4 linked regions of the Saccharomyces cerevisiae S288C genome follow. Changing the gene in region 1 together with any one later gene gives a genetic interaction. Each region holds a gene or a part of one and is shown on either strand. Other genes may lie near its edges.

Region 1 (5,321 bases):
TGATACGGAGGGTTCATGATAATAATGGAAAGGTAGACTTCGACGCAGATGATGAATTGAAACTTGTGAATTTGCGTTTAGGAATCGTCGGCAAGAACGCAACTGGGATGAAGGAAGATGAGACTGATATTGTGGTTCCTAAGGAAGAGTCATTGGAAGAGATCTGGCAAAGTATAATAGACGAGGCAAAAAAAGAAGTAATCGAAAAAACTCCAGATGCTGGCGTTAAGAACAAAGAAGGGATTGTCACTGATTTGAATGTTCTAAAAGATTTAGAAAAGTCGAAAAAAGAAGATGAAAAGGTTTACCTAAGTGGTGATGTCCATATGATGATGAACCAACCAGGTGATTTGAATGAAATCGCCAAAGAACATGATAAAATCCCAAAATTTCTATAGTAGGCTCTATGCATCCGGATATACCACATGTAAATATAACGCAAGCGAATAAATAATTTTACATTCACCACTCAGTAACCTTGGTCCTGCAGAAGATATTTCTATATAGTTATTACCGTATTCCATTTTTACTTATGTGCTATTATTTATATTACAGAGGGGTTTCCCTTGTGTTAATTGTTACATTTTTATCATCATTCATTTTTATAGTTTGGTTACCAGTTGCGCTTGTTTCCTGGTTCGAGTTTGGATTATCGTCCTTGAGTTCCGTTGATGATTCCTCGTTGGCGGTTCTTTCTCTTCCTGCTGTTTTTTCATCTGCAGCGTCACCTGACTCTTGTCTGGTTTCGTTAATTGAGGTCAAGGGAGAAGCATTCATTTGTGTATTAGAGTTGACATTTGTGCTGGAATTGACTCTTGGTGAAGATGTATTAGAGGGGGGGTGTCTGCTCATATGAGAGGGCGTAACATTTGGTGAAGATTGTGAAGTTTTTTTAGAAGACTTATTTGGCGCAAATGGTAAAGGCGTGTTGTTGCTATTATTATTAGCACTATTTATGGCTGGACTTCCCTGCGATTCTAGTTGTGTTTGTCTGGAAGTGGGGTTTACTGGCGTTGTTGTACTGGTCGTACCGTTGGGAAAGGAGTTTAGTTGTTGCAAGATTTCCTGGGGCAAATTCTTCCACTGGTTTAAAGGAGATCCTTGCTCGGTCATGGCAGGTGATCCCACGTTAAATTGTATTGGGATTTGCGATTGTACACCTGACCTTTGTGGGTTAACGGAATTGATGTTAGAGTTAGGGCTCACGACCACCGGTTCATCGGTCAGAAGACCAGGAATTTGTGCAAATAGTAAATGCATATTATTCAAAGCATTCGATAGTTTATCAAAGTATTTGGAACCTATCTTCAATACCCAGGTATAATTTCTAACATAATCTCTGAAAATCATAGCCTCTTCCTTCGTAGCTGAAGTCACATACAGCAGGGCAGCAAATGTTCCAATTAGCATCAGATTTCCAGTTGAGCAGTTATACCAAAAAGCATTAATATGTTCGTTTTTTAGATCTCTTATAAATTCAATTGCTGCTACAAGCCTGGTTCTTGCAGCAGTCCTGCATACTTGAACCAGTTCCTTTGGAGTTTGAGGATTCAAGGCACAGATAATTTTCCTATGTAACGTAATTTCCGTGGCAAAATAAGCTAGAGTTAAAGTTGAATTTGAGTTCAATTTTTGTGGCGTGGCATAACTCATTGACAAATTCTTGGGTAGGGAATGGTACCATTCTCTTAATTTCAGTTGCAACGGCTTTGCCAGTTTCAATACCTGTTCAATGCTTTTGTTTATTGTCATGGATCCCTGAGTGTAAAATGTGTCCATGATTTCCCCAAGAATTATACTCAAGGAAACCATTTGTTGAAACATAAGCGTTCCATTCTTGAAATCTTCTAAAGTGGGGTTTATGTTAAATATGGGCAAGTTACCAAATGCTATCTGATGGTTTTTCACATCATTTGATGACGAGGGTGAAGACCCCGACTGGTCATTTTGCAAGGAATTTAAAATAGTGGGCGAATTCAGAGGAAAATCATCAAAGTTTAATAGCTTGATCATCCAGTTCCTACCTAAAATTAAATGGGATTGTCTACCTTCGTTTAATGCACACCATTTATCCATCAACCAAACTGCCCACGCTAATCTCTTTCTCAAATCTTTTTCCCATTTGGGAAGTTTCCAATCATTACATTCAACCCCGAGCCCCAATTCCTCTGCAAGGGCCACTACGCTGGAGCAGAGGACCCAGTTGTTATGACATTCACTACGGCATTGCAAAATCAAAAGGCCTGTTTGTATAATGCTCAATTTTGGCCTTCCAACTCGAGCATAAAATGTTTCCAATGCGATATTGTTTAGTTGAGCAGTTACATCGGGTTTAGGGAACCCCAAAAGTGCAGGATGAAAATCCCAATATTGTAATGCCAGTGAGTAAATGGATGCCAGTAAAGGCGCAGTGAGTTCTCTATAAGATCTAGAATACTTTTCCAAAAATACACGTTCGTGTAAAATTGGAAGAAAAGGATGAATCAATTTGAAGAAAATCTCTACTAAAAGGTGACCGTGCGGATGTACCAGATTTTCGACCAAATCAACTTCGTATTCTTGCTTACTATGAAGGGTCGTGTCAAAATCGTCCTGAAGAATAAACTGTGCGGTAGGAGACACCTTTCTTAATGATAAAGTTTTTGATAGCTGTATTTGGTCAACATTATCTAGTCTTACATGCTTGGTCAAGTTCAAATCGAAAACTGAGGCCGGACCGACGAAAAAAGAGGATCTGGGGTATTGTATACGCTGTTGCTGCTGTTGCTGTTGCTGCTGCTGTTGATGTCTATAGAGCATGCTACTGGGTAAGCGATTCGAATAGTCTTCAAAATTTTTCATTCGTTTGGAGTTTGAAGAGGTTGGCATGTTATTGTTTGCCCCAGAGGACGTTCTTTTCAAATAATTTGGAGCAATACTGAAGGTGCATTTAGTTCTTGACGTTTCACATTCGAGACAGTTGCCTAGGTCGGGAAAATAGTTGCACTTTGTTTTCTTTAATCTACATTGATTGCAAGATCCCATCAGATTACCGGGACTAGATATGTCATTATTGTTGTTATTATTGTTGCTATTACTGCCATTATGATCTGCGCTGTTACTAACATTGTCATCAAAGGCTATTGCATTATCACTCTTGGAGAGTAAACTTTGATAATGGTGCAAAAGGGTATCCAGGCTCTGTTGTTGCTGCTGTTGTTGCTGCTGTTGTTGCTGTTGTTGCTGCTGCTGATGCTGTTGTTGTTGTGATCCTCCTTTCTCCCTCAGTATATTAGGATGGTCGTTTGCCAAATGTTGCAGAATGGTAGTATAGTTATCATTAAAATTCAGTATATCATGGTTACTGTTATTATTGCTGTTGTTGCTATTGACATTATTATTCGTGGACGAATTTTTAGTGGTTGCCTTCACGCTCTTCGTAGGCGATGCGGCATTATCAGCTGGTGATTGGTGAGGGTCCATTTGATAGTATGGCTGCCTGTCGTTCTGCCGCTCGTCTAAACAGGCCAAGAGTTTTTAAGATCTACACTATTATTTGAAAATGATTCTTATCATCTATTATTTTCAATCACCATGTACGATTGTTATGTTTCATATAATACCCATCGCGATGGATATTATATGAGTATTATTAGCTCGAATCTTGGACTGCTTCTGCTCTACCTATACACTGATTGTACAATTCTATATGCTTATGCAGCTTAGACCATTTTTTATTCGAGAAGTTAAACCTAGCGGTCTCAATTACCGACACATATGCCTTTTCAAGATATCGAGTTAATGAGCGACGGTATCACCTTATAAAAAATGACACAAATCATCTCTGTTGAATTGCCTACATCACTGTGGGAGCTCCTTTTTCAATAATTCTCAAAGCGTGTCCTAAGACAATATTTTGTTTTCAGCGTGGACCGAATGGTTATGGTTATATAATTAAACAAGTTAAAGACCATAAGCACAAATACAAAGTACGTAAACATCGTTCCAAAAAAACTTGGCGAACTACTCGCCCCCCAGCAGAGCACTCAACCCCAACATACCTAACAATGCAAACTTGGCATATTTGTTCTCGCTAATCCAAATCGTAATGTACCCTAGTTGTGGAAAGTAGCCCTTGACGGTCCCTACAATCTCCTTTGACTTGTTCAAGTAAATTTTCTTATTAGCATATAGTGAGATATCATTGCCGGCGTTATTGTCACCTTTGGTCAGGAGGAATTGCTTGTCCGCGTGATTGTTATGTTGCCTCAAAACTCTATGCACAATGGGGATTTGTTTCCCTTCGACCTCATACACCACGACATCACCTACTTGGTTGAAAGTATTTCTATTCCATAGGAAAAGGATATCACCCCTTTGGAAAGCTGGTTCCATGGAGCCTGAAAGCACCACCACGATCGGAGAAGCGCTATTAGTAGCAATGGCTAAGCCTTGCCAGAACATGTAAGCAGATGCAAACAAAAAGCAAACGTTCAATAGTTTCTGCAATTCAAATCTTAGATTCATCTTGTGCTAACTCCCTTGGGGTTTACTTTCCGGTATATTTCTGTAGTATATTGTTTCTGCACCATTTATTTCCTTGGAGATTATTTTTTTGAAATCGCTTTTGCCAATGGAAAAAAGTATACGTATGGTAATAATAATAAGAGCAACAGCGCTCTCTGAAATAGAAGATACCAGCAGCTTCGTGGTCTTGGGAGTCTTGCAGCTGACAGAGAATGACATTGTTGTGCAGGTGTGTCACATAAGATCTGGAAAAAACCAACAGCTACAGAAAGAACCGCCCTCACGGAGAATAAAGTCAATAGTAGCTTTTTTTTACGTACTTTCTATTTACATGCTATATAAGAGGATTATATCTTTGCGCCTTTGAGAAACTTTGAGGAACCGGCCTGAAAATGTTGTAGATTGAGCTTTTCTTGCTTAACGTAGTCGTTGAATTGCTTTAGGACGCCTGAGTCCAACCTACCATTGTCCTTCATCACAATGTCAACGAGGTTGCTATACGTACGAAGAACTTTACTCGACTCCATAGTAGCGAGAAACACCTCTGTCATATCAGATGCATCTTTTCCTGTGTCCAGGGAAAGACAATCCTTCAGGGAGAAGTTTAGGCCCGTTGTCGAGGATAGTATGGGGAATTTAAGTTTCCAGCCTTTATCCAAATGAAGACACATTAGCGGGTCGATGTCATTATCGAAGGCGGATCGCAGTAATCGCTTGGTGACAACCTCCTTTATAGTGGCACGTACCACCGGATCGTACATCTGATATTCTCGAGGTACAGAAATGGAAGGGTTTTCCTTTAATGAGACTCTTAT
Region 2 (4,053 bases), on another chromosome or scaffold:
ATCTTATTGTACACTGGTTTGGTTGAACTACTAGCAAGAGACTTTATATTCAATCCTCAAAGAACAAAGGATCTAAGAGAATTGTCCTTCAACGTTATATGCACTCTTTTCGGTGCTGGTATCATGGCTTTGATCGGTAAGTGGGCTTAAACCAAAGCGAAATTCTGCATGTTCCATATAGATTCTATTTCATATTTTATAGTTATTTATTCTTTAGTAATAGCAAAAAAACAGTAATAATTTTTCTTTAACAGTCTCGGACAATAAATACGCTAAAGAAGATGAAAATGACAACTTTTACGCTGGTGTGCACAAGTGGTACCAGAATACGTGGCCACCAAAACAATGACGGATATAGGGAGAACCAAGTCTAGAAATTACAAATGTTCTTTTGACGGTTGTGAGAAAGTCTACAACAGACCTAGTTTGCTTCAGCAACACCAAAATTCGCATACCAATCAAAAGCCGTATCATTGTGATGAGCCGGGATGTGGCAAAAAATTTATAAGACCGTGCCATCTACGAGTTCACAAATGGACTCATTCACAAATCAAGCCCAAAGCGTGCACATTATGTCAAAAAAGATTTGTCACAAATCAGCAATTAAGAAGGCATTTAAATAGTCATGAAAGAAAAAGCAAGCTTGCATCAAGAATTGACCGTAAACACGAAGGAGTGAATGCGAATGTGAAAGCAGAACTCAATGGCAAGGAGGGAGGTTTTGACCCAAAATTACCTTCCGGCTCTCCAATGTGTGGTGAAGAATTCTCGCAAGGTCATTTGCCTGGATATGATGACATGCAAGTGCTACAATGCCCATACAAATCATGTCAAAAAGTTACCAGCTTCAATGACGATCTAATAAATCATATGTTGCAACATCATATAGCAAGTAAGCTTGTTGTACCATCTGGAGATCCATCTCTGAAGGAATCGCTTCCAACCTCTGAGAAATCCAGCAGCACCGACACTACATCCATTCCACAACTTTCATTTAGCACTACTGGGACAAGCAGTAGTGAAAGCGTTGATAGCACTACGGCACAAACCCCAACTGATCCAGAGAGTTACTGGTCGGATAACCGGTGCAAACATAGTGATTGTCAAGAGCTTAGTCCATTCGCATCTGTATTTGATCTCATTGACCACTATGACCACACGCACGCCTTCATTCCTGAGACGCTGGTAAAGTACAGCTACATTCATTTATATAAGCCTAGCGTCTGGGATTTATTCGAATACTGAACGCCATAGAAGAGCAATTTCCGTCCTCTACTCATGTGATTCGAACTATGAAACAAAGAAAAGGCAAGAGTAAATAGCGTGATACCTATTACGTATTACGTATACATCCTATTATTCTTGAAAAAAAGTGCGGGGCTCCAGAGCTCCACATTGGTGACCCCAGAGTATACTGCTCTTTCTAATGCCTTTTCCATCATGTTACTACGAGTTTTCTGAACCTCCTCGCACATTGGTACCTAGAAATGGCTATCATGCCGGACGGCACCGGGCAATAAACCGGACGGCACAAAAAAATCGAAGAAAAGAGATTTCTTTTTCTCGCGGGCAGTTTTTCCGGTCGATCGACATTCGTACGGTACTTTCTCTGTTTCAGGGACATCATGTTGTAAAAGAAAAAGACAGTTTAGGTAATCGTTCTTTTCTTTCTGAAAAATTTTCCACGACGACGACGACGACCACGAAACACCTTTGATTGCGAGATCCACGAAATTACCTCCTGCTGAGGCGAGCTTGCAAATATCGTGTCCAATTCCGTGATGTCTCTTTGTTGCACCTTCGCCACTGTCTTATCTACAAAACTATAAAAAAGAGTAATCCTACCCCATATCTAAAAAAAATTCCTTAACTTTTATAACTTAACTTCAAAGTTTCTTAATATTTTTTCGCTTTTTCTTTGAAAAGGTTGTAGGAATATAATTCTCCACACATAATAAGTACGCTAATTAAATAAAATGGTTCATTTAGGTCCAAAAAAACCACAAGCCAGAAAGGGTTCCATGGCCGATGTGCCAAAGGAATTGATGCAACAAATTGAGAATTTTGAAAAAATTTTCACTGTTCCAACTGAAACTTTACAAGCCGTTACCAAGCACTTCATTTCCGAATTGGAAAAGGGTTTGTCCAAGAAGGGTGGTAACATTCCAATGATTCCAGGTTGGGTTATGGATTTCCCAACTGGTAAGGAATCCGGTGATTTCTTGGCCATTGATTTGGGTGGTACCAACTTGAGAGTTGTCTTAGTCAAGTTGGGCGGTGACCGTACCTTTGACACCACTCAATCTAAGTACAGATTACCAGATGCTATGAGAACTACTCAAAATCCAGACGAATTGTGGGAATTTATTGCCGACTCTTTGAAAGCTTTTATTGATGAGCAATTCCCACAAGGTATCTCTGAGCCAATTCCATTGGGTTTCACCTTTTCTTTCCCAGCTTCTCAAAACAAAATCAATGAAGGTATCTTGCAAAGATGGACTAAAGGTTTTGATATTCCAAACATTGAAAACCACGATGTTGTTCCAATGTTGCAAAAGCAAATCACTAAGAGGAATATCCCAATTGAAGTTGTTGCTTTGATAAACGACACTACCGGTACTTTGGTTGCTTCTTACTACACTGACCCAGAAACTAAGATGGGTGTTATCTTCGGTACTGGTGTCAATGGTGCTTACTACGATGTTTGTTCCGATATCGAAAAGCTACAAGGAAAACTATCTGATGACATTCCACCATCTGCTCCAATGGCCATCAACTGTGAATACGGTTCCTTCGATAATGAACATGTCGTTTTGCCAAGAACTAAATACGATATCACCATTGATGAAGAATCTCCAAGACCAGGCCAACAAACCTTTGAAAAAATGTCTTCTGGTTACTACTTAGGTGAAATTTTGCGTTTGGCCTTGATGGACATGTACAAACAAGGTTTCATCTTCAAGAACCAAGACTTGTCTAAGTTCGACAAGCCTTTCGTCATGGACACTTCTTACCCAGCCAGAATCGAGGAAGATCCATTCGAGAACCTAGAAGATACCGATGACTTGTTCCAAAATGAGTTCGGTATCAACACTACTGTTCAAGAACGTAAATTGATCAGACGTTTATCTGAATTGATTGGTGCTAGAGCTGCTAGATTGTCCGTTTGTGGTATTGCTGCTATCTGTCAAAAGAGAGGTTACAAGACCGGTCACATCGCTGCAGACGGTTCCGTTTACAACAGATACCCAGGTTTCAAAGAAAAGGCTGCCAATGCTTTGAAGGACATTTACGGCTGGACTCAAACCTCACTAGACGACTACCCAATCAAGATTGTTCCTGCTGAAGATGGTTCCGGTGCTGGTGCCGCTGTTATTGCTGCTTTGGCCCAAAAAAGAATTGCTGAAGGTAAGTCCGTTGGTATCATCGGTGCTTAAACTTAATTTGTAAATTAAGTTTGAACAACAAGAAGGTGCCCTTTTTCTACTTATGTGAACATGTTTTCTATGATCTTTTTTTTTCTTACTTTTACAACTGTGATATTGTATAAACTTTGTTAGAAATTCACGGGATTTATTCGTGACGATAAATATTTATATAGACAAAGAATATGACGATTTATGAAATCTACATGATTTTAGTTTCTTTTAACAATTGCTCGTTTTTTTCTCTTGCTTAATTTTAAATTTTTTTGGTAGTAAAAGATGCTTATATAAGGATTTCGTATTTATTGTTCAAGTATTTAAAGACTAGATGTCTTTATTCTTCATAAAATTGCACGCCAATTTTAACCCTCTCTACACTTCCTCTAGATAGCTTGCGTACTTTCTTTTGTAGCGTGATAATTCTGGAACGAACGGAAGCACTTGTTTTAAGATCGTCCTTACTAATTCTCACAACCACTTCATACCCGCGATTTTTACGCGTGGATTCTTCTTTTACCTTTGTAGTGTTTGCATCATCAATGATTAATTCTTTTAAACTGGTCTCCACCTCACTACGCTTAGAAACATGGAAATCAAATACGTTATCTCTGATATTACCACCTGGATG
Region 3 (3,347 bases), on another chromosome or scaffold:
ATGCATCAAAAAATTAAGACATAACAAGGCCTTGCTACGTGGTTTAACACCTACAATATTGAGAGAAGGTCATGGATGTGGCACATATTTCTTAGTGTATGAAGCGTTGATTGCTAACCAAATGAACAAAAGACGTGGACTAGAGAGAAAGGACATTCCTGCATGGAAACTTTGTATTTTTGGAGCATTGTCTGGCACTGCCTTATGGTTGATGGTATATCCATTAGATGTCATCAAGTCTGTCATGCAAACGGATAATTTACAAAAGCCTAAATTTGGTAATTCTATTTCCAGTGTAGCCAAGACTTTATATGCCAATGGAGGGATAGGCGCTTTTTTCAAAGGGTTTGGTCCTACCATGCTAAGAGCTGCTCCCGCCAATGGTGCCACTTTTGCTACTTTTGAATTAGCGATGAGGTTATTGGGTTGATAATTCCTATAGAATTTATGAGCCATCGTTTAAGAAAATAGTACAATATAATGTATAACTTGAAACTCTATCTTCTTATATTCAATAGATGCTACTATGCGTACATATATATGGTGAGTGTGTGTGTTTATATATGCGTAGTAATCACTCGGCAATGTGGAATTGTTACCGTGATAGCCTTCATGCTTACTCTTCCAACCTTCTTAGCAAGTATTCCACCTCAACTTCCTTAGTGATAGGTATAACAATTTCCTTATAAATTTTTACCAAATATTCTGGAGTAATCCTTCTTTCACCTGACTCGTTGGTAGGGTCCACACCATAGACTTCAGCCTTCTTAGTTAATCTTTCTAGAATCTTTTCTTCAACGGCAGAATTGGTGATATTCTTCATTATCCCCTCGACATCTTTACTTTTGATCAGCTTTGTGTATAGCGGGATATCCGATTGGAACTTGGCTTCAGCAACAAACTTGCCAAAGTGGATTCTCCTACTCAAGCTTTGCAAACATTCTATATCTCTAGTGGCAACAGAACCGAAGTTATTCTTATCATCACCATCTCTTTTCGAAATTAATGGTATAATCTTTTCAATATAAACTTTTTTTATTTTATCATTGTAATTAACTTCTGGGGCATAAGGCGCCAAAATTTGTGGGTAGTTAATGCTCGGTAAGAATGATTTCTGAATCTTGTCAGGAAAGAAGGGAGTTTCATCAGGTGATTCGAATCTTCTGATGCGAGAATGCGCAATTTCAAGATTTGAAAGAGCCCAATCCAAGAAAGATCCTTTAAAATTCGGAATTTCTAAACCTGGATGGTTTGCCTCATAAACTGAAGGACATGTGGCGAAATGCGACCTCTCAATAAATTTGAAGATGATCGAATCCTCCATTCTAACTAATTCATCTCTAATATTTTGTAGATTTAAAACAGTTTCTGGTTTTGTGAAATCCATATCTTATACCAATTTTATGCAGGATGCTGAGTGCTATTTGTTAGCAAAACGGAATCGATGTTTCAACTTTTCAATACTTTTTTTCTTCTTTTCTTCGAACTTCGAAGATTATAGAGATCCATTGAAAATTTACGATAAAGGAAATGCAACACGAAGTTTGAAAAAAAGTTGATATTGAAAAAAAAAAAAAAAGAGAACCAAAAAAAAATTAAAAAACGTGAAAACGATGGTTTAACAACTTTTTTCGAATTTGGTATACGTGGAAAAACGAATGTATAGATGCATTTTTAAAGAATATATATAAAATTTAGTAATTGTATTCCGCGAGCGGCGCAATAGGTGATTTCATTTAGCTGCTTTCAGTTTGCGTATCATTTCTTCATTGATCTTGGCTTCTCTATCTAAATCCTCTTTCGACTTGTAAAGTCCCCAAGTTCTAAACCATAAGAACCGCCTCAATCTGGAAAATTTGTCAGTATCAAGACCATAATTCGTGTATGACTGAATCAAATGTAATCCACTTTCGTCATGAGTAAATTCGGCCTTGCTCAGAGACTCCTGGATTTTGGCTAACAACGCAGTCCCTTCGATGCATATAGCTAGGCCACAAATTATGCCAATAACGGTCCATGGGTTGATGTTTTCTTGAATTCTTTCGTTTTTCATGCTATTTGCGTCTTCCCAAGTCCCAGCGTTCCAGTATTCATACTGCGCGTTAGAGTGGTAGCCATAAGAGCCGGCATATTGGTAATTTTCAGTATTAACGTTAGAACGTGGTGAATACGATGTGGTCCAGCCTTGCCTCGTTGTGTCATATACGATCTTTTTCTTTGGGTCACAAAGAATATCATATGCTTGAGAGATGACTTTAAATCTATGTAGTTTTTCGCTTGATGTTAGCAGCAGCGGTGATTTACTATCACTGTTGGTAACCTTTTCTGAGCTAAATATTTGAATGTTATCGGAATGGTCAGGGTGGTACAATTTTACATAACGATGATATTTTTTTTTTAACGACTTCTTGTCCAGTTTAGGATTTCCAGATCCGGCCTTTGGAATGCCAAAAATATCATAGGGAGTTGGATCTGCCAACTCAGGCCATTGTTCATCCCTTATCGTAAGTTTTCTATTGCCATTTTTATCGTTCGCTGTAGCATACTTAGCTATAAAAGTGATTTGTGGGGGACACTTTTCTACACATGATAAGTGCCACTTGAATAAAAATGGGTATACGAACTTATGGTGTAGCATAACAAATATATTGCAAGTAGTGACCTATGGTGTGTAGATATACGTACAGTTAGTTACGAGCCTAAAGACACAACGTGTTTGTTAATTATACTGTCGCTGTAATATCTTCTCTTCCATTATCACCGGTCATTCCTTGCAGGGGCGGTAGTACCCGGAGACCCTGAACTTTTCTTTTTTTTTTTGCGAAATTAAAAAGTTCATTTTCAATTCGACAATGAGATCTACAAGCCATTGTTTTATGTTGATGAGAGCCAGCTTAAAGAGTTAAAAATTTCATAGCTAATGGTGACAGGGGGAATGGCAAGCAAGTGGGATCAGAAGGGTATGGACATTGCCTATGAGGAGGCGGCCTTAGGTTACAAAGAGGGTGGTGTTCCTATTGGCGGATGTCTTATCAATAACAAAGACGGAAGTGTTCTCGGTCGTGGTCACAACATGAGATTTCAAAAGGGATCCGCCACACTACATGGTGAGATCTCCACTTTGGAAAACTGTGGGAGATTAGAGGGCAAAGTGTACAAAGATACCACTTTGTATACGACGCTGTCTCCATGCGACATGTGTACAGGTGCCATCATCATGTATGGTATTCCACGCTGTGTTGTCGGTGAGAACGTTAATTTCAAAAGTAAGGGCGAGAAATATTTACAAACTAGAGGTCACGAGGTTGTTGTTGTTGACGATGAGAGGTGTAAAAAGATCATGAAAC
Region 4 (3,176 bases), on another chromosome or scaffold:
TTCATCATTAGTCCGTGATAAAGGATTTTCTGGTCTTTATCGTGGTGTTTTGCCAGTTTCCATGAGACAGGCCGCAAACCAAGCCGTTAGATTGGGTTGTTACAATAAGATTAAGACCTTGATCCAAGATTATACGGATTCGCCAAAAGACAAACCTTTATCATCCGGGTTAACCTTCTTAGTGGGTGCATTTAGTGGTATTGTGACGGTCTATTCCACCATGCCCCTTGATACTGTGAAAACAAGAATGCAAAGTTTGGATTCCACCAAATACTCCTCTACAATGAATTGTTTTGCAACCATTTTCAAAGAAGAAGGGTTAAAGACGTTTTGGAAAGGTGCTACGCCTAGACTTGGGAGATTGGTCTTGAGTGGTGGTATTGTTTTCACTATCTATGAAAAGGTCTTAGTTATGCTAGCCTGAAATGTATTATTGTGTACAATATATCATCTAATGTTTTCTACTCGTTATAAGTCTATTTACCAGCCGATCACTTAAAAAAGTTATATATCTCTTTTTATCATAATGAAGAAGATGGCTTATGCTTGATTTTGACTTTGGTTGAGGTATTTCTTTTCCAATTTTTTGACTTGAATGTAGTCGTATATACTCTTCAGGGTGATAAATAGCCCAAGAAATGCCACAAAAACAGCCAACCATGGTATGTTTTGTTTTTCTTCATCCAGACCGTGATTCAAATGTGATTCAAATTTATCTTGTGTCGTTGATTGTGAATTTAGACGAACATCATCGAATTCATTTGGATCCTCTAATTCCATTCTATTTAAGCTTTTATTTTTGCCGACTTTTGAAGTAACATCATTGGGAATCATTGAATAACCATATCCAATGAACGTTAACCCTAATCCAAACCTTGAACCTTGCTTTGCTGCGTGAGATGTGTGTAAAATGTAGGTTATTAAAAATCCAATGAACTGAAAACTCGTGCTTACGATGATATTCCATAATAAATTTGCTATATTTCCTACAGGAAGCCCCTCAATGCATATTTCGTCGTAGTAGATATCTGAATTGTTCAAATCCATTCCATAATACGAGGGGGCCATATCAGCAGCAGCTTCGTCGTATGTAGGTGGTATGTCTTGTTCGTTATTACCTTCAGTCTCTGTGGTATCTGGTTTTGCGCTTAAATTGCTAAAGACACCATCAAACATGGCACCTTGTTGTATATCCGAAGACTGTTGTGTACGTTTCTTAAAAAGTCTATCAAGAATATTAAAATGTCTTCCTATTTTTCCTATATGTCTGGCTGCTTGTTCCCTCAGCTGGTGTGGTACTAGTCTTTCTGTCGTACTATTTCCTCCACTGCTGCTTCCCTCGTCCTCTATGCTATCTTCCTCGTCAGACCCTATTTCCGTTTCCCCTTCTACGCCAGTTTGTGTGTCTCTAGTTCGTCCTGCGTTTCCGACATTTATGCCATCAGTAGATGAACCTGCATGAAGTGTATTCATTTCTTGCCCTATAAGTAGTTCTTGCTCTGGCATAGCGCTTAGTTTCCTAGACTACGTGTTCTTGTTATTCTCATGCTCTTTTTATGTATCTAAATTGGAAGATTTTTATAAAGGTTATGTACTATTCTTCTAAAAAAAGTAGGCGCAAAGGGACTCCGCATCGTATAACACGATGATAATACAAATTCTTCCACGGTTATTTACATCTCCGGTATATTTTATATATGTGTATATATTTTCTATGTATTCTGTGTGTTATTGTTACTGCTACCATTATTGCTATTAGTCAACAATGTCGCTTCGCTATCATGTGGTGCTACTGGAGGTGCTATAGGAAGACTAGGTGTAGGTACCGATTTACTAGCTGCCCCACCTGGGATTACTGGCTGCAGTGTGGGATTGGGTGAATTAGTAACAGTGTGATTGGCAATCGGGTTTGGGATTGAAGGTATCGTCACACCAGCGCGAATGTTACTATTCAGCTTAGTTTTCAGCGATTCTGGACTCGGAAGCATTGCATTGGTGCCACTACTTGTGTCATTGGGCGCTGCTGCGAACTCTTCTTTTGTATTAACTTTCCCAGGCAGTTTAATAGAAAGTAGTAGCGAATGACCCGGAATATGGTCAATAATATAACAAGGAGGTGAAACTGGCTTAGGTCTATCTGGCCTGCTTTTATAAGTGGTTGTGTTTCTCAATTCGTACGATTCCACAGAAGGGCCTACGTCAACACCACCAGGCATTAAAGTGCTAGGTACTGGAGTCCTGAAAGTTCTTGGAATATCTGCAATATCTGGCAGTAAAATCTCTCCTGGTGGCAACGATGAAGCATTTCCTGCTGCTACTGTGTTGTGAACGCCGTTCATAGATGTATTACTTGCAGATGTGCCGGACAATGCGAGCATACCACGTCTATTAGATCTACCTTGTCTTCTTTTCCTTCTTGTGTCTCTGTCCTTATCTTTATCCAATCTCTCTAACTCTGCAGCTGAAATCTGTAATAGGTTTGGAGTAAAAATTTTGCTTTCCGCTGCAGGCCTATAAACATCATCAAGAGTAATCGTTGGGAGCATTCTGCTTCTAATGTCATCATCTTCTATCGCTGATCCATCAAAATTGTAACCTAACAGTGCCAGTGATTTATGATACATATGAACTTGCTCTCTTATGGAGTGAGCAATGGCAGTCACAAACTCACCTGGTAGTTCTAATTCTTGACACATGGACTCTGCAAACTCTTCTGGACAGTTATCACTATTAGAGATGTCCCACTCAAATTGATCGATTAACTGGTTTTGTCCCACGACAATATCCAGCTTGATTCTAATTCTCAAGTCATCACCGCCTAGACGGTCCTGATTCAACTCTATATATGGATTTCCTTGAAACTCCTGAATCTGCTCTTGTATAGATTGACAAATAGTATCAATGTGTTGCTCTCTCGTAGCGTCCTCAAATCGGTAATCTCGCAACATGTCGTCCACAAAGTCTTCAATTTTAATAAGCTTGTCATTTTTGTTCCATAACAAAGTGTCCCTGAGGAAGAATCTGTCACGATCTTGATCGAACTCCAATCTTATGGGAACTAACTGTTCCGATGTCTCATTCATGGCCTGTTTATAGACTTTTAATTTATCCTCTAGGTAATGCTTCCTATTTCCAACTTCTACTTGTGGAATAACTCTGGTAGTTGTATTCGTAAT

Evidence for each region.
Region 2: mutations in DAL81 (region 1) and HXK2 together harm fitness more than expected from each alone (negative genetic interaction), as found in Saccharomyces cerevisiae (2 studies listed by BioGRID).
Region 3: mutations in DAL81 (region 1) and ARO7 together harm fitness more than expected from each alone (negative genetic interaction), as found in Saccharomyces cerevisiae (2 studies listed by BioGRID).
Region 4: mutations in DAL81 (region 1) and BSD2 together harm fitness more than expected from each alone (negative genetic interaction), as found in Saccharomyces cerevisiae (2 studies listed by BioGRID).

The regions. Positions count from the first base shown.
Region 1 is NC_001141.2:397,918-403,238, reverse strand, and holds DAL81 (Dal81p), read right to left. Parts: upstream 3,463-5,321; coding exon 550-3,462; downstream 1-549. Other genes in the region: INA22 (Ina22p), read left to right, coding at 1-398; signal peptidase complex catalytic subunit SEC11, read right to left, coding at 4,003-4,506; YIR021W-A (uncharacterized protein), read right to left, coding at 4,513-4,725; MRS1 (Mrs1p), read right to left, coding at 4,854-5,321. UniProt on the Saccharomyces cerevisiae protein: Positive regulation of genes required for catabolism of GABA (UGA4, UGA1, and UGA2), urea (DUR1 and DUR2), arginine and allantoin.
Region 2 is NC_001139.9:21,959-26,011, forward strand, and holds HXK2 (hexokinase 2), read left to right. Parts: upstream 1-1,976; coding exon 1,977-3,437; downstream 3,438-4,053. Other genes in the region: high-affinity Zn(2+) transporter ZRT1, read left to right, coding at 1-150; FZF1 (Fzf1p), read left to right, coding at 346-1,245; RTG2 (Rtg2p), read right to left, coding at 3,760-4,053. UniProt on the Saccharomyces cerevisiae protein: Catalyzes the phosphorylation of hexose, such as D-glucose and D-fructose, to hexose 6-phosphate (D-glucose 6-phosphate and D-fructose 6-phosphate, respectively).
Region 3 is NC_001148.4:674,245-677,591, forward strand, and holds ARO7 (chorismate mutase ARO7), read right to left. Parts: upstream 1,388-3,347; coding exon 617-1,387; downstream 1-616. Other genes in the region: YMC1 (organic acid transporter), read left to right, coding at 1-430; JID1 (Jid1p), read right to left, coding at 1,733-2,638; FCY1 (cytosine deaminase), read left to right, coding at 2,921-3,347. UniProt on the Saccharomyces cerevisiae protein: Catalyzes the Claisen rearrangement of chorismate to prephenate. Acts at the first branch point in the aromatic amino acid pathway where it steers biosynthesis towards phenylalanine and tyrosine, and away from tryptophan.
Region 4 is NC_001134.8:780,921-784,096, reverse strand, and holds BSD2 (Bsd2p), read right to left. Parts: upstream 1,507-3,176; coding exon 541-1,506; downstream 1-540. Other genes in the region: CTP1 (Ctp1p), read left to right, coding at 1-424; SNF5 (Snf5p), read right to left, coding at 1,713-3,176. UniProt on the Saccharomyces cerevisiae protein: Required for homeostasis of heavy metal ions such as cadmium, cobalt and copper. Controls metal ion transport and prevents metal hyperaccumulation by negatively regulating the SMF1 and SMF2 metal transport systems.